Callithrix jacchus: one gene and its partners. The main gene of each other region encodes a partner of the protein of the gene in region 3 in a complex. Links are inferred from orthologs where the notes say so. Each region holds a gene or a part of one and is shown on either strand. Other genes may lie near its edges. The genes, in order: NOTCH1, F7 and POGLUT1.

Region 1 (10,364 bases), on a different chromosome or scaffold from region 3:
AATCCTCACCGTGGTCTTAGCTGCCATGACCACCTCCAAAACAGAGAAGTCAAGTCCCTGCCTCCAAGAGGGAGCACTCATGAGGCCCTGCACACGGCTCTACAGCCGACTTAGAACCACCCACAGAGAGGCGGGCAGCCCTTCAGTGCAGCCTGGCCTGGGCCTCCGGTGGGAGGGATGGACCCTGCTCACCAGCAGGTAGAAAAGGCAGGGGCCACTGGCCATGCAGCACGGGCCTGATTCCTGCAAAGCACCTGGGAACTTCTACATCTGTGCAAAGGCGCTGGGAGGGGCACACACCAGGCCTACACAGGGCTCCCCTCGACACTCCTTCCACTCACCTATGTTTATTTCTGCGGGATGACAACGTGTCCCAAGCTAAGAAATCATGAAACCAGAAGCTGTGTGGTGACCGCCCTGGGCTGTGCCCATCTGAACCTGCTCTGGGGCCACCTGGAGCCTGGGGGCCTACAGCAGGGGTGACCCCAAAAGCAGTCCCTGCCAGGGACGTTCCCTGGAGACCCAGGCATCCAAATCCCTAAATCTGTTCTTGCCACGAGCTCGCCAGCAAGCTGAGCCCCAGGTCTGCAGGCACTGAGAGGCAGCCTCTAAACCCTTCTCACTGCCACAGGCTACCCCTGCAGCCAGGGCTGAGGCGGGTGCGGGGCCTCAAGGGGCTTCAGCGGGGGGACCTGGACCTTGAGCAAGGTCCACAACCCTGCCAGAGCCTGTCTTGCTGCGGGTGGGGAGGCCCTGCCTCGCTCAGCAGGTCCCCTGGGCCTCCTTCGGGACCCACCTCTACCTGGCTTCCCTGGAGGATGCAGATGGGCCTGACGCCCTCCCCACTTGATCATCACTGACTTCGAAGGTCCTGGGTGGAGGCACCAGCTGTTCTGGCCTCAGCTGTTCAGGCTCCCAGGGCCATGTAAGCCTGGCCACTGCCCCGGACCACCCACTGGCCCGAGGAGGGCAGTGGGCACCCAGACAGCTGCTGCTTACCTGGAAGACGCCTTGGGCGTCGGCAGACACGGCCGCATGCAGCGGGGTGCGGCCCATGTTGTCCTGGATGTTGGCGTCCGCACTGGCCTCCAGCAGGCGCTTGGCGGCGTCAGAGCGTGAGTAGCGGGCAGCCAGGTGCAAGGCAGTTTCGCCTGTGCGGTCTGTCTGGTTGTGCAGGCTGGCGCCCTGGTAGATGAAGTCGGAGATGACGGCTGGCGCATCCTCCTCCTCCTCACTGTTGCCCATCTCTAGGCCGCCTCCACTGCAGGAGGCGATCATGAGTGGGGTGAAGCCGTCTGCAGGGGCAGAGGCGATGGTGTTCAGTCTGGAGGGCCGGTGCCCAGCTGCAGCCCAGGGGAGGGGGGCAGCAGCCCACAGCTGGAGGGGCCACGGTGTGGCCCCACCACCCAGCACTCAGTGACCCTGAGCACATAGCCACTGCGGGGCAGCTGAAGTCCGCCTGGGCTACTCGGTGGACAGAGCCAAATCCAGCAGTCAGCTCCAGGCAGGCAACGAGACCCCAGCAGCTTGGCTTCCTGACCTGCCCAAGACCTGGCACCCAAAACCCACCCAGGAAAAAACAACGCCAGAAACATGCAGTTAGAAAATCAACACTTTGGCCAGGTGCGGTGGCTCACGCTGTAATCCTAGCACTGTGGGAGGCCAAGGCAGGTGGGAGTTCAAGATCAGCCTGACCAATATGGTAAAACCCTGTCTCTACTAAAAATACAAAAATTAGCCAGGTGTGGTGGCGGGCGCCTGTAGTCCCAGCTACTCGGGAGGCTGAGGCAGAATAATTGTTTGAACCCGGGAGGTGGAGGTTGCAGTGAGCCGAGATTACACCACTGCACTCCAGCCTGGGTGACAAGAACAAGATTCTGTCTCAAAACAAACAAACAAACAAAAAAAAAAACAGAAAGAAAGAAAATCAATGTTTTCCATGTCTCAAGAAGAAGGTTTCAGAAGAGATTAATTTACAGGTGCAGAGTCAGCCTGCAGCATCACCCAGGAAGGCATTGCTGGAAGAACAGGATGACTCCAGGACCCCCTCAATCCACTCTGAATGGGAAACACCCCAAGGATGAAAGCTCTCGCCCCCAACTCTAAGTTTGCAGAGTATCAACTGTACCACAGCCTTGGGGCTTTGGGGAGAGGGAGGTGGGCCGTGGGGCTGGGGAAGTCCTGGCTGCTGGCACCCCTACCAGGCCCTCGGACGTTGACATCCATGCAGTCGACATCGACCTCGCCCTGGGGCGGTGTGGGGGCCATGGCCGACATGCGCAGGTCAGCGGCATCCAGGTGCTGCTGGGTCCACTGCCGGTGGTCTGTCTGGTCATCCAGGTCAGGCAGAACCACGGGTTCCTCGAACTAAGTTGGGGGAGTGAGCAGAGTCATGTCAGGGCAGCCGGTGGCAGGAGCCTGGGGGCCCAGGAGCCCAGCGACTCACCCGGAACTTCTTGGTCTCCAGGTCCTCGTCCCCCCACTCATTCTGGTTGTCATCCATGAGGGCACCGTCTGAGGCGTTCTTCAGGGGCCTGAGGGTGAGGGGTCAGAAAGTGAGGCGGAGCCAGCTCCCTAGGAAGCCCCCAGAGGCCCCTGGCCCAGGCCTGGCATGGGAGGTGGACCCTGGGTCGGGAGGGTCAGACCTCCAGTGAGGATGCCTGGCCAGGTCTGCTTCCCCCGACCCCCAGAAGCCGGGGCAGCGTCCGCTCACTTGAGGCCCACGGAGTCCTCGCCAAGGGGCTCCCGCCGCTTCTTCTTGCTGGCCTCGGACACCTTGAAGCCCTCGGGGAACCAGAGCTGGCCATGTTGCCGCCGGCGCTTGCGGGACAGCAGCACCCCACAGCCCACGAAGAAGAGGAGCACAAAGGCGGCCGCCGCCACGTACATGAAGTGCAGCTGCGCCGGCGGGGGCGGCTCCACGGTCTCACCTGCGGACACAGAGGACGGCGGCAGGCGCCTGGACATCAGGTGGCAGCTACGCAGCAGGCTGTCGGCTGGGGGGCAGCGGACTGGTTCCGCAGCTAAGCGCCTCCTCACCCGCTCTCCTCCATCCCGCCCCCCAAAATAAGGTCATTTTCTACGCGATTAATCAGAATTGCAAACTATCGCTAAATTCTCTCCTGCAGCAGCCGACTCTATCTGGAGACGGCTTTTACTTTTTTCTCCTTTAAGGGAGGAGGATTAGTGAACTTCAAATCGCAGCACTCGCATTGAGCTGTTAAGACAAAGGATTTAGGGGGATTTTCAAGATACAAACTTCAACACTTCACATGACACCGATCAATTCTTCTCTCTCTCTCTTTTTTTTCTTAAAAAAAAGCCGTAATGATTTTGAAATAATACCCAACAAAGAATAATCAGGGGGAAGGGGTGGGGAGAGAAGAAGGCACCCGCTTTCCCGTGGATGGGCTCGTTCCCGAGTGGCTTCACCAGCAGCTGTCACCGCCACAGGTCGAGGCGGAGTGCCATTCAGAAAATTCCAGAAAAGCGCTACCCCATCTCGGAAGGTGACTTGCACATCCATGGGTGGCAACTGGCACAAAGAGCTAGCATGTTTGGGGCACGGGGAGGGGGTGGTCGCATCCCCTGCAGGGGGAGCCTGTTCCATGCCGTGCTGGGCTGGGGGCAAGGGTGGGTGCCGTACTTACTCTGCACAGCCTCGATCTTGTAGGGGATGTTGAGGCTGCCTAGTGAGGCGAGCGCCCCCAGGAACGCAGCCACGTCGGTGGCGCTCTGGAAGCACTGCGAGGAGGCCTGCACACACTGCCGGTTGTCAATCTCCAGGTAGACGATGGAGCTGGGGGGACAACCGGGCAGGGGCTGGGACCCAAGGCTTCCTCCTCCCCTGCCCGCCAGTCCAGGATGATGCCCCCAGGACACCGAGGCCCATGATGCAACAGTCAGGACACCACAGGGCAGCCTGGGGCGGAGGGAAGCCAGGTCTGACGGCAGCTACCCCGGAGGGGACCAGTGTCCTGCAGCCCCCGGCGTCTGGCCAGTGCCGATCGCAGCTCATCCCCGGTAACTGCCAACACGCTCTCCTTGCCCCACCCTGCCACCCTCTCTGGCTCCTTTTGGTGCCACAAACACATTCCTCATCTCAGGACAGAGTATGTGCCAGGAGCCCAGTTCTCTCCCAGGAGCCCAGTTCTCTCCCAGGAGCCATCCCCAGGCCCTGTGGGAAGTGCAGATGTGCGGTGGGGGCGGGCGCAGCTGTGGTGGGCTGTGCGGTGAAGGGGGCTGGGGGTGATCCCTGCTCCCCAGCGGGGCTCCTGCTGCCCAAGGCTGGGTTCCCGTGAGCAGGATCCCATCCAGCCTGTGAGATGATGCTTCTGACCTCCAGAGCTGCCCCAAGGCAGCAGAACTGATGAGCAAACCCACCAGGATCAGGCACATCAGGGGCACAACTGACCTGGCCCCTGGGTCCAGCTGTCCCAGAGGGAGTAGACGGGGGCGGGAGCCTTGTGGGTGTCCCTTGCACTCAAGCTGCCCCACCTGTGTTCTCCTACCATGGGACCCCCTTCCCCACCAGCTCCTCCTTTGTCTATAAGGTCCCTCCAGGACCTCTACCTGCCTCCTCTCCAGCCCAAACCAGGCAGATGCCATGGCCAAGTGGCATTCTTGTCTGGGGTGGGTCTGTTTAGCCCTGTGGGAGCCCCCAGAGAGCTGAGCTTTTTGTTTTTTATTTCTTTTAATACTTTTTAAAGAAAGCAGAGACAGGGTCTCCCTATGTTGCTAAGGCTGGTCTTGAATTCCTGGGCTCAAGGCAAGGGCTCCTCCTGCCTCAGCCTCCAAAAGTGCTGAGATTACAGGCATGACCCTCCTCGCCTGGCAGAAAACTGTGTTTTAACATTGTAGTACCCAGTGTCTGTGGCATAGCTCAATCTCAAAATTACCCACTGGGCACAGGAGTGAAACCTACCCAGCCTGGGGAAGGCAGTGGCCCAGGGAGGGGTGTGGCTGCGGGGTCAGGGCCCTGAGGTGGAATGCTGCCTCTGCTCCTTGCCCATGTGGGCCCTGAAGTTCCAGGTCCTCTCGGAACCTCTGTCTCTTTTACCGTAAAATGGAGAGAGTACTGCTTGCCCTGGCACCGGCCACGAGGGGCAGAGGAGCCATGGGGGAGATCCCAGGTGAAGTGCCGGGACTGATGGCAGGTGCTGGGTCTCACTCACCCGCGGATGTCCATGGGGTCCAGCTCCCTCCGCCGCCGCCCACCAGGGAGCAGCGAGGCCTTCACCTGGCCCAGCAGGGAGCCGGGTGCGGCCCAGCCCTCGGCAGCACGCTTGATTGGATGCTTGCGCAGCTCCTCCTCGCGGCCGTAGTAGGGGAAGATCATCTGCTGGCCGTTTGCGTCGCGCTTGAAGACCACGTTGGTGTGCAGCACGCGGCTGAGCTCGCGCAAGAAGTGGAAGGAGCTGTTGCGCAGCTGCTCTGGCGGCATCAGCACCACCACCACCAGCGTGCCGGCCGCCAGCCTCTCGGGCACATGCTCTGCACAGTCCAGCCCGTCCCACTCGCACTCCGCGCTGTTGCAGCCCTGGTCGCAGTGCCCGTCGCTGAAGTGGTCCTTGCAGTACTGGTCGTACAGGGGACTGTGGGGGTGGAACACACTCAGGCCGCCTTCCTCCGGGGGCCTCGCACCCAACCCCGGATGGTCCAGCCTGTGGACCGGCCTCGGGGAACATCCCTGCACCCGCTGGACGGAGCTTTGGGAACTGCATGCTGGCCACGTCCGAGTTCGGGTCTTCCCTTGCCCCCACGGGGACGGCCCACCCCGCAGCCGTACTTGCACTGGCCTTCCACGCGCTGGCAGTCGAAGCCGTCGAAGAGGCAGCCGGCCGAGTTGCACTGGCTGTCACAGCGGCCGTCGCTGAAATATTTCCAGCACTGCAGAGACTGCGTGCAGTTCTTCCAGGGGTCGTTGAAGTTGAGAGAGCAGTCGCCGCCATCCCAGCCACACGCGTGGTTATTGCACTGCAGGCTGCAGGCCTTGTTGCCCGAGTCCTCCCGGCACTCAGGCAGTTCACATGCCTCCTCGATCTGCGGCGGGGGGATGTCGCGCCCGGCCCCACCCCCAAAGCTGTAGTCCAGGATGTGGCACAGGAGCCCGTTGAATTTGGCAGGGCACAGGCAGCGGTAGAAGGGGCTCTCGGATGTAGGCTCACAGGTGCCCTGGTTGTAGCAGGGGTTGCCACCCAGGCAGGGGCTGCTGGTGGGAAACTGGCACTCGGGGCCCGTGAAGGGGCCCAGGCACAGGCAGGTGGGGCTGCGTGGGCCGGAGATGCAGGTGCCACCATTGAGGCAGCGCAGGCTGCCACAGGCACGTGCGTCGTTCTCACACGTGGCGCCCTCGAAGCCCTGCCCAAGAGGGAAGATGGGACAGTGTCAGGGTGGGCCACCCCTGGCCACCTCAAGCTCAGCACCCAGCCTCCCTTGACCTGGGAGGCAGCCTGCAGCCTTGCCCCCAGCAGCAAAACCCTTTACAAAACATTCTGTAGATGGAGAAAGATTAGGGGGTTCCAGGGGGTCGGGAGATGGAGGAAGGGGTAAATTGGTAGAATGCTGGGGACTTCAGGGCAGGGACTGTCTGCCCTGATCCTTCGAGGGTGGGAACGCGTGTCATACCTCAACCCAAGCCCACAACCACAAAGCCAAGGGCAAGCTGCAGGTAAAGGAAGGGCTGGTGCTGGTAACAACGTCTAAGTGCTGTGGCTCACAAGTGAAACTGACGCAAGCTGCATGCAGGGGAGCCGCATGCAGGGGAGCCGCCCCAGGGACTCTACCTTCCGCTCCATTTTTCTACAAACCTAAAATCTCTCTAAAACTCATTTATTCAAACTAAAAAAAAATGACATCGGAGTGACATGGCTGCCCCGCTTGCGCCCCGAGGCCCACATCTGGACCTCTCCAGGTGCCTCCCGGGAGGGTCCCCATCCCCCTGCACCCTGGCACCTACCGAAGGGCACTTGCAGATGAACCCGCGGGCAGTGTTGGAGGCCACGGCACAAGTTCCCCCGTTCTTGCAGGGCTTGCCCTTGCAGCCATTGATGACTGACTCACAGCGGCGCCCTGCGGGGGAGAGCCCGGCAGTGAGAGGCTCACCCTGCCGCCCTGTGGGCCCCACCCGCCCGGGCATGGCACCCACCGGTGTGACCGGCACGGCACTCGCAGTGGAAGTCATTGACGCGCTGCACGCAGTTCTGGGTGCCGCGGGCGTCACAGGGATTGGAGAGGCACTCGTTGACGTCCCCCTCACAGCGCTCACCCACGAAGCCCGGTGGGCAGGTGCAGCTGTAGCCGCCCACCTGGTCCACACAGGTGCCGTTGTTAAAGCACTTAGGGCTCCGGGACACGGGGTCCATGGCGGGGTTGCAGTCGTCCACGTTGATCTCGCAGTGCACACCTGTGGGGCCAGGTGCCATCAGAGGCCTGTGCTCACCACACCTCTGCCCTGCCGAGCCCTGTCTTCCTCCCAGATGACAAGTGCTCTGGTCTGGGGCTGCACGGATGCTCAGGAGAGGCAAGTGCCAAGGGTGCAGGGGAGACATCTTTCCCGCTGGGATCCCTGCTCTGGGCCCCTTCCCTGGGCAGCTCTGTACTGGCCTTGGCCTCACAGGAAGACGGAGTTTCTGGGTGGTTCCTGGATACCTCTGGCCGATCTCAGGGTGCCTGCCCTGCCCCCGCCCTGGCCCTGGCCCTGGCCACCCAGACGCCAGCCCTCCGTGCAGTGGCCCTTACCCTGCGTGCCCCGTGGGCAGGAGCACTTGTAGGTGTTGGGGAGGTCGAGGCAGGTGCCCCCGTTCTGGCAGGGGTGGGAAAGGCACTCGTTGATCTCCTCAGAGCAGTTCACCCCGTGGTAGCCGGCCACACACTGTGTAGGCGAGAGAACCGGGGGCTCAGCCGGGGCCAGGATTTGGCACTCCCCCCCTCCACTGTGAGGGCTGGCAGGGCCGTGTGAGCTGCCCTCAGGTCCCATGAAGCATGGGCCCCTCGATCCTGTCAGACCTGGAGAAAGAACCCCCCGCCCCGCCACCCTCAGCAGACCCTGGTGCGGCCTCGGTGACCAGAGTCACTGTCTGATGGGGCTGGGTGGACCCCGTCCTGTAGGATAGAGGTGAGGGCCTCTGGGTAAGTGCTGGCCAAGCCCAGATACAATCTAGGGGAAGAACCCCCTCCCACTTCTTAGCATATTCACCCTCCTCCAGGCTCTCCACAGGCCACCTCTTCCAGGAAGTCCACCCCGATTACCCCAGCCCTCCCTTAACGATCCTGGACAGTGCGTGGGCCTATCAGGTCTTCTCCCCTGTGCCAGCTCGCAGTCAGGGCCTGGTGTGTGGCAACACAACCGGCCACAACCCCCACTCTACAATGGGGGCCCCCACCTTGCAGGAGTAGCCGCCCAGGTAGTCGGTGCAGGTGGCCCCATTCTGGCAGGGGCTGGGCGAGCACTCGTCTACCAGGTCCTCACAGTAGCTGCCCATGTAGCCCGCCTGGCAGCGGCAGTGGTGCGTGTTGCCGGTGTCCACACACAGCCCCCCGTGCTGGCACAGATGGGCAATGTCAACACCTGTGGGGGATGGGGTAGGGGGGCAGGTGAGGCCCAGGCCCACGGAGGACCTCAGTGGGCTGGGACCTGGGCGGTCGGGCACAGCAGGTTACCTTGCCGCTGGGCGGCCACCTCACAGGAGACGCTGGGTACGTCACAGTACAGGCCGGTCCAGCCACTGGGACACTCGCAGCGGTACTGGGTGTGGGTCTGCCAGCATTTGCCCCCGTTCTTGCAGGGTGAGGAGTCACACCAATGCACGAGGTTCTGGGGACAGGCTGGGGTCAACCAGGTGCCTGCCCCCGGGCCATCCCTCCAGGTCACCCCCCAGGCTACTCACCAGGGCACCCCCAGGCCATCCCCCAGGCCACTCTGCCAGGGCACCTCTAGGCCATCCCCCCAGGCCATCCCCTTCCCAGTTCATAATGCATATCGGCCAAGGAGCCCCATTCCATCCTGTCCCATAGCCCACTCTACAGAATTGGAAACTTCGGCCTCTGGACTCCCCACCGCCCCCACACCAGGATTTCCTAATTCCTGAGCTCCCGCCCTGGCTGCAGAAATCAGGGATTGAACAAAGACGCCTGCTGCTCCCACATCAGATTCCCTCACTGGCCGCTCAGATCCCTAGAAGCCCTCCGCCCAGGGGTGTGGGGGCCCCAAGCTGACACAGTTGGGCCTGGGGGTGACCATTCCCACCCCCCACAGGCAGGCACGCACCCCAGGCCCTCCTCAGGCACCTGTGGCTGCACACTCACCTGGCAGTTGGGGCCAGTGTAGCCCTGGGGGCAGGTGCACCTGTAGGAGCCACAGCTGTCCTGGCAGGTGCCACCATGCAGGCAGGGTTGTGAGTCGCATTCGTTGACGTCGTGCTGGCAGTAGCTGCCCGTGAAGCCGGGTGGGCACAGGCAAGTGAAGGAGTTGATGCCGTCCACACAGGTGCCACCATTGAAGCAGGAGCTGCGGGCAGGTGGACAGGTGGGTGGTGAGCGGGAGGCACTGGTGGGTCCTCTCTGGAGCAGACCCTGCCTTGCCAGCACCTCGCCTCCACTCAGCCCTGAGGGACCTAACGGCCAGGACAGACCCAGAGCGGCCTGGCTGACCCGGAGAGGCCAGCGGGAGCCTGGAGCCCAGCTCTCACACCAAGTCATGCCTTCCTGCCTGCCTTCTTCATAAGTCACGTCAAGAGGAGCTTTACTAAGCACATGGCAGTAGGGTGGTTACAGTCAGAATGAGGTAGAAACCAGAACCTGTCCCAGCAATCCAGGAGGTGACTACGTCAGACACCAGGAGCGACACTGATTTTACCACTGAGTTTCCTGGCAACCACAGCAAAAAGAAGACAAGGGTGACACAGTTCTCGCTGTTGTTCACGAGACACAACTGGGGTTCCTGGCGCAGGACACAGGCGGAGGTCACAACAGCCCTCTCAGGAGGGACGTGTCGGTACAACGAAATGTCTGGACTCAGTGCAACGATGCTAAGTGGCCACTGGGCCTGGGCGGACGCCTGCTTGGGGTGCCAGGCTGCCATCGGCTGCACAGCCTGCAATGCCATCTCCTCCCCGGCCTCCCGGGAGCCTCTCGCACCTCTCCGTGCAGTCAGGCGTGTTGTTCTCACAGTGGATCCCACTGAAGCCCGCGGGGCAGGTGCACGTGTAGCTGTCCACACAGTCTGTGCAGTTGGCCCCGTTGCGGCAGGGGTCACTGGCACACTCGTTGATGTCCTCCTCACAGAAAGTGCCCTGGAAGCCGGGCAGGCAGTCGCAGAAGGCCATGTTGACACCGTCTGTGCAGGAGCCGCCGTTGTGACACGG
Region 2 (10,364 bases), on a different chromosome or scaffold from region 3:
GAGCAGTGGCCCCTGGGACTGAGAGCTGCCGTCAGGGAGAGAGGGCAGCACCTACCCAGCACCGCGCTTATGTTCCTCCAGTTCTTGATTTTGTCAAAACAATGAGCCGCGGAGACCACCCAGCTGGTGTCGATCAGGGTCCCCCCACAAAACATAGCTCCATTCTGCACCAGCAGCACCTGTGCGGGGCACAGCAGGCGTGGAAGTCACACTGCTGTCAGTTTCCCTGATGACTCACCCTCCTGGGCACCACAAGGGACCTCTGGCGTCGCACAATTTGGTTCTGCAATCCTCGGGTCTTTGCAGACCCCTCCCGGGCAGAGCTGCTCAGACCCGGCTCTGGTGGGCTGAGCCCCTCTCTGGCTAACCCAAGCCCCTCTCTATGACGCATGCTCTTGGGTACAGTGGCTCTGGGGGGCTGAGCCCCTCTCTAGCTGACACATGCTCTTGGGTACAGTAGCTCTGGGGGGCCGAGCCCCTCTCTAGCTTATGCATGCTCTTGGGTACAGTAGCTCTAGGGGGCCGAGCCCCTCTCTAGCTGACGCATGCTCTTGGGTACAGCCTAACAACACAGATGTCGCTGTGGGATTTCACTATTCACCTCACAGGATCTTCACATAGTTTTGATCCAGTGCTCCTGACTTTGCAAAGCTCAGGCAAGGATTCTAAAGAGTGACAGGGAGGATGACATGACAGCTCGGGTGGGGAGCCTCGCTGGGCTCTTTGCACAGGGTAGACCCTCAGTGAGTGTCGCTTTCTTCTCTCCTTCGCGGGGTGCAGCGAGCTGGAGGTGCTGGGTGGGCTGACGTGGAGCCTGGTGGGCCTGGGCTGACCTGCCTGTTTCCCTTCCAGAGCTGTTGTCCAGCTCACATTCAAAAGTCTCCAAGCCCCTCAGGGCTCAGAATCCTGAGGCCAGGGAAGTCTTACCTGCCATGGACACTCCCCTTTGGGGCACACCCTGCCCCCCACAATTCGGCCTTGGGGGATGCTGGCATTTCTTTTTTCTAGAATAGGTATTTTTCCGCATGGATATTCAACTGTGTAAAACAAAAGTCAGGAAGATGCAGAGATCTGTGAGGAGTGTGCCCCAAGTTCAGGCTCAGAAGCATCCTTGCTCTGAGAGGCTTGAGGCCGAGGTTTCGGGAGGCCCCCTCGCAGGAGCTGCCAGGTCCCAGGGGTAGGGGAGGGCAGGGCCTTGGCTGGGCCTGGCTGGTGGGGCTGGCCCATGAGAGGCCCTGGCAGAAGCAGCTGGCTGAGCAGACAATGGTCAGGGCTGGCTCTGGAGGAAACGGAGGGCCCTACATCTTGAAACCACCCTCTGCTCACTGTTCAGGGGGACGATGTGTTGCTTGACTTTACTAAAAGGTTAATGAAATTCTGCCTAAAGATGAATCAACAGCACAAACAATTGTGTTGTTCTGATCCCACGCTGAGTTTTCGATCTGCTCCAATTAAGGCCTTGGGCCAGAAAGAAAATCCGAGGAGGTGGCAGGCTGAGTTCTAGGCTGTATGGCTGGGGTGGGCACATCTGCCTCTGAGAGACACAGCGGACATGAGGGGGCCCTGCTGGAGACGGAGTGGGCGTGGGGTGACCCTGCCTGAGACAGAGCGGGAGTGGGGTGTCCCTGCCTGAGACAGCGGGAGTGGGGTGTCCCTGCCTGAGACAGCGGGAGTGGGGTGTCCCTGCCTGAGACAGAGTGGGAGTGGGGTGTCCTGCCGGAGACAGAGTGGGAGTGGGGTGTCCCTGCCTGAGACAGAGCGGGAGTGGGGTGTCCCTGCCTGAGACAGAGCGGGTGTGGGGTGGCCCTGCCTGAGACAGCGGGAGTGGGGTGTCCCTGCCTGAGACCGAGCGGGTGTGGGGTGACCCTGCCAGAGACAGAGGGAATGGGGTGTCCCTGCCTGAGACAGAGCGGGAATGGGGTGACCCTGCCTGAGGCAGAGTGGGGGTGGGGTATCCCTGCCTGAGACACAGCATGCGTGGGATGTCCCTGTCTTTGGAAGTGCAGCCCATTAGCTCCAGGCTGGTTTGGAGAAATGTCCCATTTTCCCAGGAGCCTTTACCGGGTTAGGAATGCAGAGTGGGGCAGCAGTCAGTAGACACTGGCTGTGTCCAAGCAGATTCACGAACCCTGGTGGAGGTCCCACAAGTCGGGGTGGGATGTGAGACAATGCCTCGCTTGTCTCCCCTGGCCTGTCTAGAATGGGCAGGGGGGCCTGAGGCCATTCAGGGACTGCCCCAGGGTGCCCATCCCAGGCACTATGGCTCTGGCCTGTGCCACCTTGGTGCCCAGATCCCGCCTCACAATTGGTCAGCGCATAGTGGGTGCTCAGTAGATGCAAAGCCACCCCTACCCATCTTTTGTCCAGTAAGATAATCCGTGGTGGGACAAAGACTGGTGTCATCTGGGACTGGGGGTCATCTGGTACATGAAACCACAAGCAGCCCCTGGGGCCTGGTCACCTGTGGGCATGCAGGACACCCCATCTGCCAGCAGTGAGTATCCCTCGTGGCACCGACAGGAGCGCTTGGTGCCCGCGTGGTCGCTGCAGTACTGCTCGCAGCCGCCGTTCTCATTTATGCAGATCAGCTGGTCATCCTTGTCTGAGGACAGGTAGGGGACAGCTCGAGAATGGCCCCTTGGAGTCAGTGAGAGCCAGCCCCGGGGGTAGCCGTGCCCTGGGTCAGCAGCTGCCTGGAAGGTAGCACTCAGCCGTGGGCGACAGAGACTGAGCTTGGCACCAACTGCTCCATGGATTGATCCAAAGGACCAGGCCTGGATCAGGAGTCACATGTCTGAACAGCCTTGCCAGCTGGGGACAGCGCTGGCTGCAGTTGCATTTGGGGGGATGCCTGGCTGGTGGGCAGTGGCCTCCAGGGCGACCGCTCTTCTAAGCAGCTGATGGGGAGCTGAGGGAAGCCTGGAGGAAAGTGAAAGTCCCATGGGGACAATACAAGTGTCCAAGGGACTTCCAGTCAGGGATCCAACTGGCAGGAGGACCAGAGAGCTGAGACAGTTCTCCATGCTGTCCTTGTGCCTCCATGAGCCAGCCTGGGGACAGTCAGCCCCAGCACTGGCCATGGGCTCAGACAGAAGACACAGAACCGGCAGCCCGACTTTGCTTGATGTGGGCAAGGGGAGTGGTCCTGAGTAAGCCCAGGACTCTGGGGGGAAGGCTGCCCTGCGGGATGCACACCAGAGCTGCTGGGCACCGGGGCTGCTGGGCACCAGGGCTGAGCAGAGCTCTGAGATGTCCTGGGCCCAGATGACCAGCAGGAAGCCTTTCTCCTCAGTCTCCCCTACTCTGCTGGGCTCTCCTCTGCTTAAATTAGAAAGTGGCTGCTGCCGGAGAGAGCTCATTCAGTGTAAGAATGTGGACTTGGATGGTCAGGGAGAGAGGGCAGCCTTTGCCTTGGCTCCTGGGAAGTGACCGCTAAGCCCTTGGGAGGTCCTGCCTGAGGGAATGTTGTTGTTTACCCAGGCCGTAGGCCATGCTGGACAGTCTAGCTGACAATGTGACACATGGCGGGGCCTAGGGCCACACTAACAGCTTGGCCTCTGGAGGGACTGGAACTTAGGTCAGCCACATGGGGGGGTCAGCTGGGTCTTTGTGACTGAGCCCTGATAAAATCTCTAGACACCAGGGCTCGTGGCACTTCCCAAGTTGGCCGTATTTCCCACATCTCGTCACAAGTCGCTCTGGGAGAATTAAGAACTGTCCACATGACCCCACAGGGAGAGGACAATAGGAAGCTTGTGCCTGGGCCCTCTGCAGACTTAGGGCTGCATCCTTTGCAGTAATACACAGTAACGGTGAGTGTATCCACTTCAGTGGGTTCTGAGTCCTTCCGATGAATGACTGAACCCAAGGGAGGTTGGGGGCCCCCACTTGGCAATAATTTAATGTTCAGAAGGGAAAACCTTCAAACCTTTGTAATGGGAAGTGTTTGGCCTGGTGGGATGTGGAAGTGGGACAGGGACACTGGGACTCTCAGCTGGGCCCTCTCAAGGGCTGAGAATTTCCCGGGGCCGGGAGCCCAAGGGGCCGCTGAGTCTGAGACTTAGAACCCTGGGTCCCTGGATCAAAGACCTGACTGGAAGGAACTTCAAGGTCACCCACACCAACTTCCAACTGGGGCTGACCCCAGAATGCCCGGTCCACACACCCCACCATGGTGCACCCTGTAGCCCGCTGGGCTAGGCCACCTCCACCAGCTCCCCAGGGCCCTCTGCAATTATGGGACCCAAAGTGGGACCTCACTTGTCTCACAGTTCCGGCCTTCGAAGCCAAGGAGGCAGAAGCAGATATAGGACTGGAACTGGTCCTCACAGGAACCCCCATTCTGGCATGGACTTGAGGCACACTGGTCCCCATCTGTGGAGTGGGCTGGCGTCAGGACACTGCGGAGAAGGCTGCAGGCAGCATCGGTGGGCGATCTACTCACCACTGTAAGAAATCCAGAAGAGCTTCTGAGGGAGCAAGAGAGGAAGCACGTGAGCCACACCTTCACCAGAGCACCACCAGCAAGCCCTGGACAAAGCACAAGCTAGGGGCGGGGGCTTAGACCTGGGCCTGGCGGGGTGGGCTCAGGAAGCCAGACTTTCCTCTGGAGCCGAGGGAGGTTTCTCCTCATCTCAGCCCCTCCCCAGGACATCTGGAACTACGGGTAAGCACACATTGTCTGCTCCCAAGTCAGAACAGCTGGGGTTCAGCCCTGACTCTTCTGTTGCCGAGCTGTGGACCTGGGGCGAGGGACACAGGCTCTGAACCACAGCTCCACCTCTGACAGGGCAGCCACACACACAGCTGCACGGGGAGAAGGTGTAGTAGCAGATGAAAAATATTCCACAAACTACAAAAGCGCTCCGCAGAAAAAAGTGGTTGCTGAAGAAACTGTTGGTCATCAGAACTCAAACTCACAGGGTGCTGTGAGAATATAACAGATGAGAACTGCTTTGAAAACTAGGTGTAGAAAAACGCTAGGCATGACCATCCTCCATTTGCCTGGAGAGGGCCATGTTAGCCTGTGTCTCAGCTCGATCTCCTGTGAGTGTCAGGCTTCCTGTGAGTATGAGATGTCCTGTGTGAGGTGACTTGTGCCTATGAGATGTGGTTCTCTGTGACTGTGAGGCATCCTGTGTGAGACATCCTATGAGTGTGAGGTGAGAGATCTCACACAGTGAATGTCAGACAGTCTATGAGTGTGAGGTGATCTGTGAGTGTGAGGTATCCTGTGTGAGGTGACCTGTGAATGTATAGTCTGTCCTGTGAGTGTGAGATCTGAGTGTGAGGTATCCTGTGAGTGTGAGGTGATCTGAGTGTGAGGTGATCTGTGAGTATGAGGTGATCTGTGAATGTTTAGTCTGTCCTGTGAGAGGTGACCTGTGAGTGTGAGGTGATCTGTGAGTGTGAGGTGATCTGTGAATGTGTAGTCTGTCCTGTGAGTGTGAGGTGACCTGTGAGTGTGAGGTAGTCTGAGTGTGAGGTGACCTGTGAATGTGTAGTCTGTCCTGTGAGTGTGAGGTGACCTGTGAGTGTGAGGTGATCTGTGTGAGGTGACCTGTGTGATGTGATCTGAGTGTGAGGTGACCTGTGTGAAGTGTGTCCTACGAGTGTGAGGTGACCTGTGAGTGTGTGATATGATCTATGTGATATGATCTGTGGGGGGAGGTGATCTCTGTGATGTGATCTGAGTGTGATGTGATCTGTGTGAAGTGTGTCCTGTGTGAGGTGTCCTGTGAGTGTGAGGTGACCTGAGTGTGAGGTGTCCTGTGATTGTGAGGTGACCTGTGAGTAATATGATCTGTGTGAGGTGATCTGTGAGTGAGGTGACCTGTGAGTGTGAGGTGATCTGAGTGTGAGGTGATCTGTGTGAAGTGTGTCCTGTGAGTGTGAGGTGACCTGTGAGTGTGTGATATGATCTGTGAGGGGAGGTGACCTGTGTGATGTGATCTGAGTGTGATATCTGTGTGAGGTGATCTGTGAGGTGACCTGTGAGTGTGAGGTGACCTGTGAGTGTGAGGTGATCTGTGTGAAGTGTGTCCTGCGAGTGTGAGGTGACCTGTGAGTGTGTGATATGATCTGTGTGATACGATCTATGAAGGGAGGTGACCTGTGTGATGTGATCTGAGTGTAATGTGATCTGTGTGAAGTGTGTCCTGTGTGAGGTGTCCTGTGAGGTGACCTGAGTGTGAAGTGACCTGAGTGTGAGGTGTCCTGTGAGTGTGAGGTGATCTGTGTGAAGTGTCCTGTGAGTGTGAGGTGACCTGTGTGAAGTGTCCTGTGAGTGTGAGGTGATCTGAGAGTGAGTGTCCTGTGAGTGTGAGGTGACCTGTGTAAAGTGTCCTGTGAGTGTGAGGTGATCTAAGTGTGTGAGGTGACCTGTGTGAAGTGTGTCCTGTGAGTGTGAGGTGACCTGTGTGAAGTGTGTCCTGTGAGTGTGAGGTGATCTGAGTGTGAGGTGACCTGTGTGAAGTGTGTCCTGTGTGAGGTGACCTGTGTGAAGTGTCCTGTGTGATGTGATCTGAGTGTGAGGTGACCTGTGTGAAGTGTGTCCTGAGTGTGAGGTGTCCTGTGTGAGGTGACCTGTGTGAAGTGTGTCCTGTGTGATGTGATCTGAGTGTGAGGTGATCTGAATGTGAGGTGACCTGTGTGAAGTGTGTCCTGTGAGTGTGAGGTGACCTGTGTGAAGTCTGTCCTGTGAGTGTGAGGTGTCCTGAGTGTGAGGTGACCTGTGAATGTGAGGTGTCCTGTGAGTGTGAGGTGGGGTGACCTGTGTGAAGTGTGTACTGTGAGTGTGATGATCTGAGTGTGAGGTGACCTGTGAGTGTGATGTGATCTCAGTGTGAGGTGATCTGAGTGTGAGGTGACCTGTGTGAAGTGTGTCCTTTGAGTGATGTGACCTGTGAGTGTGATGTGATCTGAGTGTGAGGTGATCTGAGTGTGAGGTGACCTGTGAAGTGTCCTGTGAGTGTGAGGTGACCTGTGTGAAGTGTTCTGTGAGTGTGAGGTGATCTGTGTGAAGTGTGTCCTGCGAGTGTGAGGTGACCTGTGAGTGTGTGATATGATCTGTGTGATACGATCTATGAAGGGAGGTGACCTGTGTGATGTGATCTGAGTGTAATGTGATCTGTGTGAAGTGTGTCCTGTGTGAGGTGTCCTGTGAGGTGACCTGAGTGTGAAGTGACCTGAGTGTGAGGTGTCCTGTGAGTGTGAGGTGATCTGTGTGAAGTGTCCTGTGAGTGTGAGGTGACCTGTGTGAAGTGTCCTGTGAGTGTGAGGTGATCTGAGAGTGAGGTGTCCTGTGAGTGAGGTGACCTGTGTAAAGTGTCCTGTGAGTGTGAGGTGATCTAAGTGTGTGAGGTGACCTGTGTGAAGTGTGTCCTGTGAGTGTGAGGTGACCTGTGTGAAGTGTGTCCTGTGAGTGTGAGGTGATCTGAGTGTGAGGTGACCTGTGTGAAGTGTGTCCTGTGTGAGGTGACCTGTGTGAAGTGTGTCCTGTGTGAGGTGTCCTGTGTGAGGTGACCTGTGTGAAGTGTGTCCTGTGTGATGTGATCTGAGTGTGAGGTGATCTGAATGTGAGGTGACCTGTGTGAAGTGTGTCCTGTGAGTGTGAGGTGACCTGTGTGAAGTCTGTCCTGTGAGTGTGAGGTGTCCTGTGTGAGGTGACCTGTGAATGTGAGGTGACCTGTGAATGTGAGGTGTCCTGTGAGTGTGAGGTGACCTGTGTGAAGTGTGTCCTGTAAGTGTGATGATCTGAGTGTGAGGTGACCTGTGAGTGTGATGTGATCTCAGTGTGAGGTGATCTGAGTGTGAGGTGACCTGTGTGAAGTGTGTCCTTTGAGTGATGTGACCTGTGAGTGTGATGTGATCTGAGTGTGAGGTGATCTGAGTGTGAGGTGACCTGTGAAGTGTCCTGTGAGTGTGAGGTGACCTGTGTGTTCTGTGAGTGTGAGGTGATCTGAGTGTGAGGTGATCTGAGTGTAAGGTGACCTGTGTGGTGTGACCTGTGAGTGGAGGTGACCTGTGTGAGGTGACCTGTGTGATGTGATCTGAGTGTGACATGACCTGTGTGAAGTGTGTCCTGTGAGTGTGAGGTATCCTGTGAGTGTGATGTGATCTGAGTATGAGGTGATCTGAGTGTGTGACCTGTGTGATGTGACCTGTGTGATGTGATGAGTGTGATGTGATCTGAGTGTGAGGTGACCTGTGTGAAGTGTGTCCTGAGTGTGAGATGTCCTGTGAGTGTGGTGTCCTGTGAGTGTGAAGTGTGTCCTGTGAGTGTGATGTGATGAGTGTGAGGTGATCTGTGAGTGTGAGGTGATCTGAGTGTGAGGTGACCTGTGTGAAGTGTGATCTGTGAGTGTGAGGTGACCTGTGTGAAGTGTGTCCTGAGTGTGAGGTGACCTGTGAGTGTGAGGTGACTTGTGTGAGGTGATCTGAGTGTGAGGTGACCTGTGTGAAGTGTGTCCTGAGTGTGAGGTGACCTGTTAGTGTGAGGTGACTTGTGTGAGGTGATCTGAGTGTGAGGTGACCTGTGTGAAGTGTGACCTGAGTGTGAGGTGACCTGAGTGTGAGGTGATCTGAGTGTGAGGTGACCTGTGTGAAGTGTCCTGTGAGTGTGATGTGATCTGAGTGTGAGGTGACCTGTGTGAAGTGTGTCCTGTGTGATGTGATCTGAGTGTGAGGTGATCTGTGAGTGTGAGGTGATCTGAGTGTGAGGTGACCTGTGTGAAGTGTGATCTGTGAGTGTGAGGTGACCTGTGTGAAGTGTGTCCTGTGAGTGTGAGGTGATCTGAGTGTGAGGTGACCTGTGAGTGTGATGTGATCTCAGTGTGAGGTGATCTGAGTGTGAGGTGACCTGTGTGAAGTGTGTCCTGTGAGTGTGATATGATCTGAGTGTGATGTGATCTGAGTGAGGTGACCTGTGTGAAGTGTGACCTTTGAGTGTGAGGTGACCTGTGTGAAGTGTGACCTGTGAGTGTGAGATGTCCTGTGAGGAAGCCCCAGGTCCCTACACTTTGCTTCTCCCGGACACGTGCCCTGGGTGGTGCCGCTGATCACGGTGCGGGCCGCTCCCCCGGGCCAGCTTCTACCGCGTGCCTGCTGTGAGCCGCGCGCCGCCCCGATCCTCAGGGGGTTGGGGGACATCCTAAGTGCGCTTCTTAAGTCCTATTTTCTGATGTGAAGACGGTCATGCGCGGTGTGGCAGCGTGGGGACAGCGTGTGCGGGGGGCGGGGGGCGTCCCTGGAAACGGGGCGAGGGTGGCGGAGCGTCACCGAGGAGAGAGGAGTCGCCCCAGGCGGAAGGTGACCGGCAGGGGGCGCTCCGTGGGCGCCGCCGCGTGTTCCCGCTCAGAGGGAGACGCCGGGCGGCCCCACGCGGCCTGGTTCTCGGCGCCCACGGCCCGCGGCGCGGGGAACTCACCGTCCTCTCCGTGTCCCTGAAGATCTCCCGGGCCTCCTCGAAGGAGCACTGCTCCTCCTTGCACTCCCGCTCCAGCGAGCCGGCCCGGAGCTCCTCCAGGAACCCGTAGGCGCGCCGGGGCCTGCGCAGGACGCCGTGGGCTTCCTCCGGGGTCAGGAAGACTGAGGAACGGGAGCCCCGTGAGACGCTCGCCCCCGGCCCCGCCCCCCCGCCCCGCCCCGCCCCGCGCAGCTCTGGGGTCGCAGGTTCGCTCCCGTCCCGGGGGAGGGGAGCGGCGCGACGGGGGACTCGGGGCCTGCGCCGCCGGTAGGTCTGGCCGGTGTCCTCCCTGCGGTGCTCCCCGGGCGGCCACCCCACTCCCTCCTCCTTCCCGGCCTGGCCTCCCGGCTTCCAGGAGCTGATCCCGAGGGCGCGCCCAGGGGCCCACGCGGAAGCTGAGCCGAAAGGGGGCCGCGGGCGCCGCGGCGGAAATGAGATGCTGGGGTTGACGCCTGGCGAGAAGGCGGCGCGGCCGGGGGCGCTGGGCACCCCCTGGGGCCACGTGACCCGCCGCCAATGCCGCGGGGGCCCTGCACCGCCGCCTGCGGCAACCCAAATTCCTCGTCTCCACCCGCACCGCGTCCCCGGCGGCCAGGCCTGCGGTCCCCAGGCCCCTGTGTGGTCCCAGGCGCGGGCCCTGCCCGGCTCCCCCACACCGAGCCCTGGCTTCCTCGCTAGCTCCGGGCAGTCCTGGGCTCCTGCGCCTTCCCCGCCCCCGCTCGGTGCCCCTCGGTCCCCGGCGACCCCCGGAGCTCAGGACCCCGCGGATCCTCCTCGGGCCGGTCCTGAGGGCACAGCGCCCCGGCGCAGCTCCCGGCCTCGCAGTAACCCTGAGGCTACTCGTAGGCACCCGCGACCCCGCCCTGCTTATGGGAAAACGGGGTTGGGGAGGGCCAGG
Region 3 (10,364 bases):
CACCTCCCTCACTCAAGCAGTTTCTCTCATACGAAGTGAGGCCAAAAAAGAAGAAAAAAAAAAAAGAGGCGAACTCAAAAAACCATCTATGCTGGGAGCGGCCAGTTGGTACCCTTGTAACGAAATCTGTTAGAACAACTTTGCACCCTCCTTAAAGGAAACAGATGATACTGTGCTCCAGCCTGAGTGACAGAGTGAGACTTGTCTCAAAGAAATTTTTAAAAAGAAGAACAATAAAAAAAGAAAGATTATTTAATATCCCACAACCCTGAGGAAATCACTTACCCTGTGGCTATCAGGTATCAGGGGAAATAAGGTTGTAGTGGAAAAAATGATTAAGGTATTTTAAACAGACATTTGTTTCATTATTTGGGACTCAATAATAGAGACTTTAAATATAAATTATGAGTCTAGGGGAATTTTTAATTTCCACAAATGAGAAATAAAATAAGAATATAAACATGTTGGACTTTGAAAGCTTACCTAATGTTTAATAGTTTGCTGAACAATTGGCATATGAAATTAAATACTTTCAAAGTTTCTGAAAGGCACAATTCTCTTCTTCCCGAGCTCAGAGCATTTTGATCAGAATTGTGAGCTTAGAAATGTTCTAAAGGGAGCACAGGACCTTTCATTAGCAATAGAATAATGTATATTTCCATTGACACTAAAAGTTCCCTATCGTAGCTACACATATAACTAAGGAAAACAGAGAGGGACAAAATACAAATAGAATACAGCATTCCAAAACATAGTCCTTAATGAAATGCATACAGTTGTATGGTATCTCAAAGATTCCTATCTAGCTAGAAATGTATTTCTAGGTCTAGATACTTTTAATTCATCCAGTTTCAGAAACCTGTGTGACATTTTAAAAATTCAGCTTCAAATAAAATATAAACTCCACGTTTCAAGGAGGAGCAGAAGAACCAGAGGTTTAATTAATGATAGAAACAAGTCATTTCAAAGATGACAAGTAATGGTATTTTTTAAATAACAGTTTTAGTGGGGTTAACATAAATTACATATAAAGTATATAACGTAAATGTTCCCACAACAAAAAAATAGTATGTGAGGATATGTGAATTAGCTTGATATACTCATTCCATAATATAAACAGATCAAAACATTACATTATATCCTGTAAATATATACAATTATTATTTATCAATTAAAAATAAAAAATACAGTGTGCACTGATAAGTCCTCATGTATGTTTATACCAAGATAATGACCCTTTCATCTCAACCAAAATGTTCCTTGTGCCTCTTTGCATTCACTATCTCCTGTATCCCCCTGTCTGCCTTCTCTCTCCATGTCCCACCTTCAGGCAGCCGCTGACTGCTTTCTCAAATTATAGATTATTTTCTATAATTTTCTAGAGTTTTCTATAAATGGAATCATGAGACAGTACTATTTTAAAAGCTAAATGTGGCCGGGCATTGTGGCTCACTCCTGTAATCCCAGCACTTTGGGAGGAAAAGGAGGGTGGATCACCTGAGGTCAGGAGTTTAAGACCAGCCTGACCAACATGGTGAAACCCTGTCTCTACTAAAAATACACAAAAAAATTAGCCCAGCTACTGGGGAGGCTGAGGCAGGAGAATCACTTGAAACTGGGAGGCGGAGGTTGCAGTGAGCTGAGATCACGCCATTACACTCCATCCTGGGCAACAAGAAGGAATTTCCATCTCAAAAAAGAAAAACAATTAATAAAATTAAATTAAAAGCCAAATTTGGAAGAAATATGAGTGTTTTAGCTGTAATGTTTAAATTGTACCACAACTTTTAAAAAAACTTTTAACTAGTTTGTTTTTCCTTTAGTGTCAGAGTATTACATGCACTTTGGATATGTAAAACATCCAAATATTTTACTATCTATTTGATGGTAATATCTATTTTATCAATTAATATCTATTTTACCGTGTGCTAAAATATTTGGATAACTCCAAAAGACATTCAGTGAAAAGGAAGTTTCTCTTCCACCTCCGACCCTCAGACCTCTAGTTCCTGAGACTGTTTTTCAAAAGACAATTAGAATTATGGGTCTTGTATATCCTTCTAGAAATAGTCTATCCATATATAAGCATCTAGACTCATCAACAAACTAGAACGTGCTCTATCTTCTGTTCTGCACTTAGATTTCTTTTCCATTTAACAGCAGATTTTGAGATGGTTCCATACAAGTCCGTAGAGAATACCTCACTTTCTGTGGCTGCATAATAGTTTATTACGTGGATTTCTTCATTCAGCCCTCTGTTAGTAGACATTTAAATTATCCCTCACCACATCATTTTGCTTTTTAGATAATGAAAGCAATACTGCAGTGAATATCCTTGTTACCATCAACACTCATGTAAATATATACGTAGGCTAAATTCTTAGAAATATCATAACTAGGCCAATTAATGTCATTTTAAATCTTGACAAACAGGCTGGGTGCAGTGGCTCATGCCTGTAATCCCAGCACTTTGGGAGGCCAAGGTGGGTGGATCACCTGAGGTCAGGAGTTTGAGACCATTCTGGCCAACATGGTGAAACCTTATCTCTACTAAAAATACAAAAATTAGCTGGGTATGGTGGCACGTTGGGGGAAGGTTGCAATGAGCCGAGATCATGCCATTGCACTCCAGCCTGGGCCACAGAGTGAGACTCTGTCTCAAAAAAAAAAAAAAAAAAAAATTGATAAATAGGCGGGGCACAATGGCTGTCACCTGTAATCTCAGCACTTTGGTAGACTGAGGTGGGAGGATCACTTGAGCCCAAGAGTTCAAGATCAGTCTAGACAACATATCAAGACTCTGTCTCTACACACACACACACACACACACACACACACACACTTGCCAGGTGTGATGGCACACAGTTGTAGTCCCAGCTACTCAGGAGGCCAAGGTGAGAAGATTGAGCCTAGCAGCTTGAGACTACAGTGAGCCATGATCATGCCATTGCACACTCCAGCCTGGGGGGCAGAGCAAGACCCTGACTCAAAAAAGAAAAGGAGAAATCTTGGTAAAGAGAAGCAAATTGTCCTACAAAGAGGCTAACCACTTCCACAACCCTTATATCACATGCTGTGAATAGAGCTCACACCCTCACCAACACTGTGCACTGTCAGACTTTTTGATCTTTGCCAATCTGATTGGTAAAATTGGTATCTAGCATCATTGATATTTCTTTTTCTTTTCTTTTTTTTTTTTTTTGAGATGGAGTCTTGCTCTGTCATCATGCTGAAGTGCAGTGGTGCAATTTCAGCTCACTGCAACATCTGCCTCCCGGGTTCAAGTGATTCTCCTGCCTCAGCCTCCCGAGTAGCTGGTACTACAGGTGTGTACCACCACACCCAGCTAATTTTTGTATTTTTAATAGAGACGGGGTTCCACCATGTTGGCCAGAATGGTCTCGGTATCCTTACCTCATGATCTGCCCACCTCGACCTCCACAAGTGCCAAGATAATAGTTCTTTATTAATAATACAGTTGAACATCTTTTCCTATGTTTGTGAACCATTGATATTTTTTGCAGTTGTCTCTCTATATATAAAACTTTTTTTTTTTTTTGGCTAGGGCATCTCACTACATTGCCTACTGTATCACTATGTTACTATGTTGCTGGTCTAGAACTTTTGGGCTCAAAGAACCCTCCTGCCTAAGCTTCCCAAGTAGTAAGACATTATTTTAAATCAGTCATTTCCATGCTGCTAGAAAATTTTGATCAAGCTGCCCCTAGCATAGTGCTGGTCAGGACCTCAAAGGATGAGGCAGAAACAAGCTAAACTGTCAGTGTATCTTTTTCTTTCAAGAAATCCTCTGAGGATTTCTAGGGAATCTAGTCATAAAGCTATGTTACAGTATTTATGATTATGTATATAACAGATTTTCTGGCTTGCAGAACTGATTTTGATATTGTTCTTTATTCAGGTTGAAAGTAATGAAAGGTTTTCTATTTGTTCTCATAAACTAGGAGACTTAATTACAATGGAAATAAAAATGGTGTCTTAGTGAGAAGCAAAGCCAAAGAAACACAGTTAGAAAATTTGCTATTTCAGCTGCTACAAGAGTTTGTATCTTGTCTGCTAATTAAACTATACCATAAAAGGGAAATTTAAAAAAAAGAACTGGAATGAATAAAGTGGTAGAAATAGCAATAGTATTCCCTTCAAAGCTATGATGATTTATTTGGAAAATTTTATTAAGTATTGTAAGCTGGAGCAGCTTAACTAGGAGTGAACTTGCACAATATAAAAAAGCAGAATAGCCCCTGTAAAAGCATTGCTTTCAGAAGACTTTGCAATAGGCTTATGATTTGGAACACTGCCTTGTCTTACTTTAAAATGTGAAGGGTACCTCACCTTGTCCTAGAGCCTGCAGGCACTGCTCTGCTGAATTTATGGTATCTCTCATTGACAGGTGTAGTGGTGTTGAGCACTTTATTTTGGAAGTGATCAGGCGTCTCCCTGACATGGAGATGGTGATCAATGTACGAGATTATCCTCAGGTTCCTAAATGGATGGAACCTGCCATCCCAGTCTTCTCCTTCAGTAAGGTAAGTACAGGGAGAGCCACAAGAGGGAATGGAGGGTGGTCCTCTAGGATGTGAGCATGAAATCATTGTCCTGTGATATAGTTTGATGGGTAATGGTAAGGATGAGGACTGAGGTCCGGAAATAGGTCTGTGTCTCTGTTAGCATCACAGTGATTGAGCAAAAGAGGAGATGGAGTTGAGAACTGGTAAGTCATATAACATTGGTTGAGTCTCTTTAAGGCTAGGGATGGAGGCTAGGGTGTGAGAGCCCTGAGAAACCTACAGGAATTAGAGGTGGGACTCAAAGATCCTATAGAGCATAGAAGGAAAGAGTTCAAGAAAGCTTAGAGTTAGGGAATACCTTCATTCAAAAAATGTTTTTTGAGCCAGGCGTGGTGGTTCACGCCTATAATCCCAGCACTTTGGGAGGCCGAGGCGGGTGGACTATGAGATCAAGAGATTGAGACCATCCTGGTCAACAAGGTGAAACACTGTCTCTACTAAAAGTACAAAAATTAGCTGGGCATGGTGGCACATGCCTGTAGTCCCAGCTACTCGGGAGGCTGAGGCAAGAGAATTGCTTGAACCCAGGAGGCGGAGATTGCGGTGAGCCGAGATCATGCCATTTGCACTGCAGCCTGGGTAACAAGAGCGAAACTCCGTCTCAAAAAAAAAACCAAACAACAAAAAAACGTTTTTTGAGCTACTCCTATGTATATAGTCAGCCATAGTGCTGGGTATCATCTGTTTCATCTGTCGCCATATTCCAGGGGCCTGGCATGGCTAAAAGTGAACCTGAAGGTGCTCAATAACTCCACACGGGTTGTGTGCAAACATTGCATAGGAAGGATAGGCCTGAGATAGCCTAGAGGCTATGCAAGGGGGTGATCTTCTAAACTCATCATGGAAGACTGAAGTAGCTAGAACACACCTGTGGGCTTGGGGAATTGGGGGCAAGGAATATCTTGTCAGTGCTCAGGTTCATGTACATGTTGTATTGGAAGGGATAGGCATTGGTTCCCCAAAAACAAGGAAAGTATTCAGGGGTGTGGTGGAGAGGCTGGAATAGAGTGAATGGAAAATTCTATGGGGTAAGAGTAAACTGAGGAAAACCCCATGGAATTTGGGAGAATGAACACTATCTCTGATTTGGTTTGTCCAAAGCAGAGGGAACTTTCAGCCCCACTTCTTCTTTATAATAGTTTACTTTCCCCCTAGACTTGTTTTATTTCCTGTGTTGCAAGTGGGCAGAGGCCACATTTGTGCTGCATTTCCCATGTCTAGCTTCATTCTCAAAAGTGCTTGGTTCCATTGTTTGTTCTGAAACTCACCCGGAAACATAGATAGAGGCTTCCATGTAAGGCAGTAGGGACTTCATGTTTGGTATCTATCTATTGTTTCTGTGGATAATAGAGTATGACCACAGGTCTACCAACTTTCTGTTCATCTTTACTTCCCTCCTGTTTTTTAAATCAGTGACTTCTAGTTTCCAAGGGAGGGTTTTACTCTGTCAACTTTATAGTTAATTGTGCAGCTTCTGTTGAATAGTTGTCATGTTGAAGGTGCTTGATGAATCACATCATTTTTTACATATTTGAGAGAAAGTAAACAGCATATTGCACATGTATTTCCAGTGGAAGAAACAGTAGAGTTACAGGTTTATCAGTGGCCAAATTTTTAACAGAAGTAACTCTAAAAACGAACAAATGGTTTCAAACTTTTCTTTTTTTTTTTTTTTTGAGACAGAGTCTCTCTCTGTCCCAGGCTGGAGTGCAGTGGCACAATCTCAGCTCACTGCAACATCCGTCTCCTGGGTTCAAGCAATTCTCTGCCTCAGCCTCCCGAGCAGCTGGGACTATGGTGCCTGCCACCACACCCAGCTAATTTATTTTGTGTATTTTTCAGTAGAAACAGGGTTTTATCATGTTGATCAGGCTGGTCTCATCAGGTGATCCACCCCCCTCAGCCTCCCAAAGTGCTGGGATTATAGGCAATGAGCCACTGTGCCAGGCCTCAAACTTCTTTCAAAAGATATATGATAACATCCCTTCCTCTCATTCTGCTCATCCATACTTCTGACCCTGATCAATGAATAACCAACCAATGTGAGCCCACAGCATGAGATAACACTAGCTAATATTTATCAAGTGCGTACAATGTGCCAGATACTGTTCTAAGATTTATCAACTAATTTAATATTCAAAATAAGCCTTTTAGGTAGATCATATTATTGATATTATTGTTTCCCTCATTACAATGATAAGGAAGCTGAGGTATAGAACCATTCAGTAACTTGCTAGAGCTGTAGAGAGGTGGAGTCAGCAATGATCTGCCTCTACAGCCCACAGTCTTAACCATTGCACTGTATTTCTTGGCTCCTACTCTCAAAAAAAAAAAAAAAAAAAAAAAACCCACTGGGAAATAACAAAAAACTGGTAAGACAGTGTGAACTCTAAGTGTAAGAGTTAAACAATGAGAGAGCTCTGTGATTATTTAGAGTTGGGAATAGTGTTTCCTTAAATTGAAAACCTTAACAGTATACATCTTCTAGAAAAACAGGATGTGGGGGAACTGAAAAAGTTGACCTTTAATTTGTGATTCTAAATTCTAGACTTCAGTGAGCCCATGACTTCTAATCCATGATCACTTTTGCCTTTTAATGTCTACAGGCTAGACTTTGCAGAATAGGGAAAATATATCTTTGGCAATATGACACTAAACCAAGGCTGTCCAGATCCTGTGGCATGATTGCAGTTGCCTCTTTTCACTCTGTTCCAAGACTGATTTAGAATGACCTGTCTGTTTTTGTTGAAGACATCAGAGTACCATGATATCATGTATCCTGCTTGGACATTTTGGGAAGGGGGACCTGCTGTTTGGCCAATTTATCCTACAGGTCTTGGACGGTGGGACCTCTTCAGAGAAGATCTGGTGAGGTAGGTCCTTTAAAGAGGTTTTATTTTTTCCTCTTTCTGGGTTTTCTTGAAATAAGCCATAGAATATAACCAATTATTTACTTTTAAATGACTAATTTTTAAGTTAAAAATTAAAGACAGCAAACAGTAGCATAAACAATTTGGTATGTGTCTAAAAATATTTACATTATCCATAGAAAGGGCAGAATAACCTATCCTAAACTATCAGCAATGCCTCTCTGGGAGGGATTATCAGAGACTTGTTTTCTATTTTAAATTTTTTTATATTTAAGAGTCTTTAAATAAGAGTGAATTACTTTCATAATAAGAAAAAAATGAATGACGGTGTCACAGGGGAGGATAGAAAATTATTTGGAAGAACATAAACATACGTGGCAATTGAGAGCCAAGTTCTTTAGGCAGGACTGAAGGATCATAAATGCCCCATAAGAATCTCAGGTATAAGCTTATTCCAGATTCTCTCTGATTCATGACAGACGTGCCTTGGCCTGTTGACTCCATTCTGCTATCATTTCAGAATTTAGATTGTGTAGCTCATCCAAGCTGTAGGTATTTCTTACCCAGCTACATTTTACATGATGATTCAAACAACTTTGGTGCTTAATTAAGAAACTTTCAGAAACACAGTCATTATAGGTCTTCCCTCAGGTATAAGGAAAGCAAATAATTCAACCTTGTTCCCATAAATACCCATCACATCTACTAAATGCAGCTGAAAATTCAAAGAGGTAAGGGAATGCTCCCTTCCTGAAGAAACATACAGGGCTGCAGTCCTCAGTGGCAGGAAGAGCCCTTTGTTAGAAAACAAACTTCTCCAGTGGGTATAATTTGGAAAATTTTTAAAATAACAACTTAGTCTCAGATTTTACAGAACTGGAACTAAAAATTGTCTTTGTCCAGCCCTTTATTCCCGGGATAAGGGAATAAAGGCCCAGAAAGGTTTAGTGACCTGGTCAAGGTCAGAAGCAAATCCAGGCCTGAAGTTCCGGTTTTCAAGTGCATTATCCGGCTTACTTTACCACTTAATATTCCTTGTGTTTTCCTGACACTGAGACTGTCATTTTGAGGTTTTGAACATAATTTTCAGAGAGGGGGAAAAAAGGGTGTGGTTTTGGTTGGTTTTGGTTGGTTGTTTTTTGAAATTTTTTGTGGAGATAAGGTCTTGCTATGTTTCCTAGGCTGATCTCAAACTCCCGGGCTCAAGTGATCCTCCCGCCTTGACCTCCCAAAGTGCCGGGATTACAGGCATGAGCCACCACACTTAGCTGAAAAAAAGGTTTAAAATTTTTTTTCCCCTAAGTTATTCTTGGCCTTAGTTTTCTAATCCTTTTTTTTTTTTTAATTTCCCTCAGGTGCTTGTAAATAGCCTTTTCACATTCTTCTTTTTGTAGCTCTTTTCCCACCTGCCATGCAGCTGCCTTGTTTTTAAAATCTTCGAAAACATTTTTACTATGAAGCCTATGTATGCTCATAAAATTTTACAAATTCAACCTTAGGCAACTTTCCCCCCAACTTATTGGTATATATAAGTAATCTTTCCATGTCAGTACATATGAAACAGACACATCAATTTATTTATTTATATAATATTTATTTATTTAAGAGGCAGGATCTCACTATGTTGCCCAGGCCGGACCCAAACTCCTGGGGTCAGGTGTTATCCAGTTACTCCACTGTGTAGTTATTGATAACATTTCCCCCTTGTAAACTAGTAAGCAATTTTTAGGCAGATAGAATGTTTTAAAGCCTAATATTATATAAATACTTTTTTCTTTTGATACCTTCCCATTTTATTCAATTGTATTTATTCGTGGTTATAGAATTGCAATTTTTTTTTTGGAACCCTCCATTAGAATCTCTAGTGATGTTCATTTATTACTTTGAAAATTTAATAATCTGCTTGTTTATCTGCATTGATGTTTGCCTGCCACTCTTCAGTCTATTTTTCTAATATTTTGGGAGTTTGTGCCCACTGACTTATATTTCACTCTGTAGGAGAATTCATGTTCTCTACAGATTTAAAGATTTCGTTTGCTGCTGTCAGAGAGGGTTTAAAAAAGAGGGCTGGAGTAGCACCAGGCTTGGTGGCCACTGTTAGCACTTGCCTGGGGAAACAAGTCCTAGCCTAGGTATTTTGAAGGATGATGGGTAGGTTAGGATAACGAAAGAGAGAGAAAACAGTGATACACAGTTTGGGTCTGTGTATATTAAACACAACTTTCCCAGGGACCAAGGAAATAGTAACTTTGAGTGTAAATTGATACATTTTTGTTAGGTAGTTTGACAATATGTATCAGAATTGGAAATGTATACTGTGTATCCTTTAACCCAGCTGTTTCACATCTAGAATGTATTGTAAGGAATTAATTAGACAAGTGTGCAAAGATGTGTGTACAAGGATGTTTACTACCATGTTGTTTCTTAGAGCAGAAAGTTAGACAACACCTAAAAGCCCATCAATAAAGGATGAAGTAAATCAAAGCATGACTATAAAATGGAATGTTTGCAGTGAGTCTTTGCCAGAGATTATAAAATGGAATATTGTGCATGAATGGAAAGGCAGTGTAGGGTTAAAAACTCTGGGTTCAATTCCTGGCTCTTATCAGCTGCATGACTCTGGCAAGTTGCTTAACCTCTGAAGGACCTCATTTGTAAAATAGGGATGATAAAACCTACCTCTTAAAGAGTGTGAGAATGATTTGATATATATAAAGCACTTAGAACAATGTCTGTAACATAGTAAAGTGCTATATGGATGTTGGCTGTTATTATTATTTATATTTCCTATTAAAAATGTTACCTAATGGTATGTATGGTATGACCTCTGTTACATGGTTAGCAGCAAACTTCACAGCAGCAAACTTTCTTAGTGCTGCTGACATTTGGGGCTGGATAATTCTTTGTC

The links.
Region 1: the proteins of POGLUT1 (region 3) and NOTCH1 are in contact, whole or in part, in a crystal structure (PDB 5UB5), measured with the Homo sapiens proteins. The link is inferred for Callithrix jacchus from reciprocal best matches to the Homo sapiens genes POGLUT1 and NOTCH1. Residues at the interface, in NP_689518.1 of Homo sapiens: Met103, Phe104, Pro105, Ser106, Arg107, Asp133, Gly170, Pro171, Ala172, Val173, Trp174, Pro178, Thr179, Gly180, Thr214, Asn239, Gln240, Ala241, Val274; in NP_060087.3 of Homo sapiens: Asn454, Glu455, Cys456, Val457, Asn459, Pro460, Cys461, Gln462, Asn463, Asp464, Ala465, Cys467, Gly472, Glu473, Phe474, Val485, His486.
Region 2: the proteins of POGLUT1 (region 3) and F7 are in contact, whole or in part, in a crystal structure (PDB 5L0S), measured with the Homo sapiens proteins. The link is inferred for Callithrix jacchus from reciprocal best matches to the Homo sapiens genes POGLUT1 and F7. Residues at the interface, in NP_689518.1 of Homo sapiens: Met103, Phe104, Pro105, Ser106, Arg107, Arg132, Asp133, Pro171, Ala172, Trp174, Pro178, Thr179, Thr214, Asn239, Gln240, Ala241, Val274; in NP_000122.1 of Homo sapiens: Asp108, Gln109, Cys110, Ala111, Ser112, Ser113, Pro114, Cys115, Gln116, Asn117, Gly118, Gly119, Cys121, Gln126, Ser127, Tyr128, Arg139, Asn140.

Annotation. Positions count from the first base shown.
Region 1 is NC_133502.1:184,969,886-184,980,249, forward strand, and holds part of NOTCH1 (neurogenic locus notch homolog protein 1), read right to left. Parts: coding exon 10,138-10,364; intron 9,509-10,137; coding exon 9,307-9,508; intron 8,816-9,306; coding exon 8,662-8,815; intron 8,570-8,661; coding exon 8,385-8,569; intron 7,874-8,384; coding exon 7,741-7,873; intron 7,406-7,740; coding exon 7,148-7,405; intron 7,072-7,147; coding exon 6,959-7,071; intron 6,361-6,958; coding exon 5,789-6,360; intron 5,595-5,788; coding exon 5,175-5,594; intron 3,800-5,174; coding exon 3,651-3,799; intron 2,931-3,650; coding exon 2,714-2,930; intron 2,535-2,713; coding exon 2,447-2,534; intron 2,368-2,446; coding exon 2,202-2,367; intron 1,296-2,201; coding exon 1,000-1,295; intron 1-999. UniProt on the Homo sapiens protein: Functions as a receptor for membrane-bound ligands Jagged-1 (JAG1), Jagged-2 (JAG2) and Delta-1 (DLL1) to regulate cell-fate determination.
Region 2 is NC_133502.1:28,570,173-28,580,536, reverse strand, and holds part of F7 (coagulation factor VII), read right to left. Parts: intron 9,734-10,364; exon of another isoform or gene 9,589-9,733; coding exon 9,428-9,588; exon of another isoform or gene 9,345-9,427; intron 4,470-9,344; coding exon of another isoform or gene 4,447-4,469; coding exon 4,261-4,446; intron 2,603-4,260; coding exon 2,462-2,602; intron 1,038-2,461; coding exon 928-1,037; intron 180-927; coding exon 56-179; intron 1-55. UniProt on the Homo sapiens protein: Initiates the extrinsic pathway of blood coagulation. Serine protease that circulates in the blood in a zymogen form. Factor VII is converted to factor VIIa by factor Xa, factor XIIa, factor IXa, or thrombin by minor proteolysis.
Region 3 is NC_133516.1:83,320,829-83,331,192, reverse strand, and holds part of POGLUT1 (protein O-glucosyltransferase 1), read left to right. Parts: intron 1-4,408; coding exon 4,409-4,544; intron 4,545-7,337; coding exon 7,338-7,459; intron 7,460-10,364. UniProt on the Homo sapiens protein: Dual specificity glycosyltransferase that catalyzes the transfer of glucose and xylose from UDP-glucose and UDP-xylose, respectively, to a serine residue found in the consensus sequence of C-X-S-X-P-C.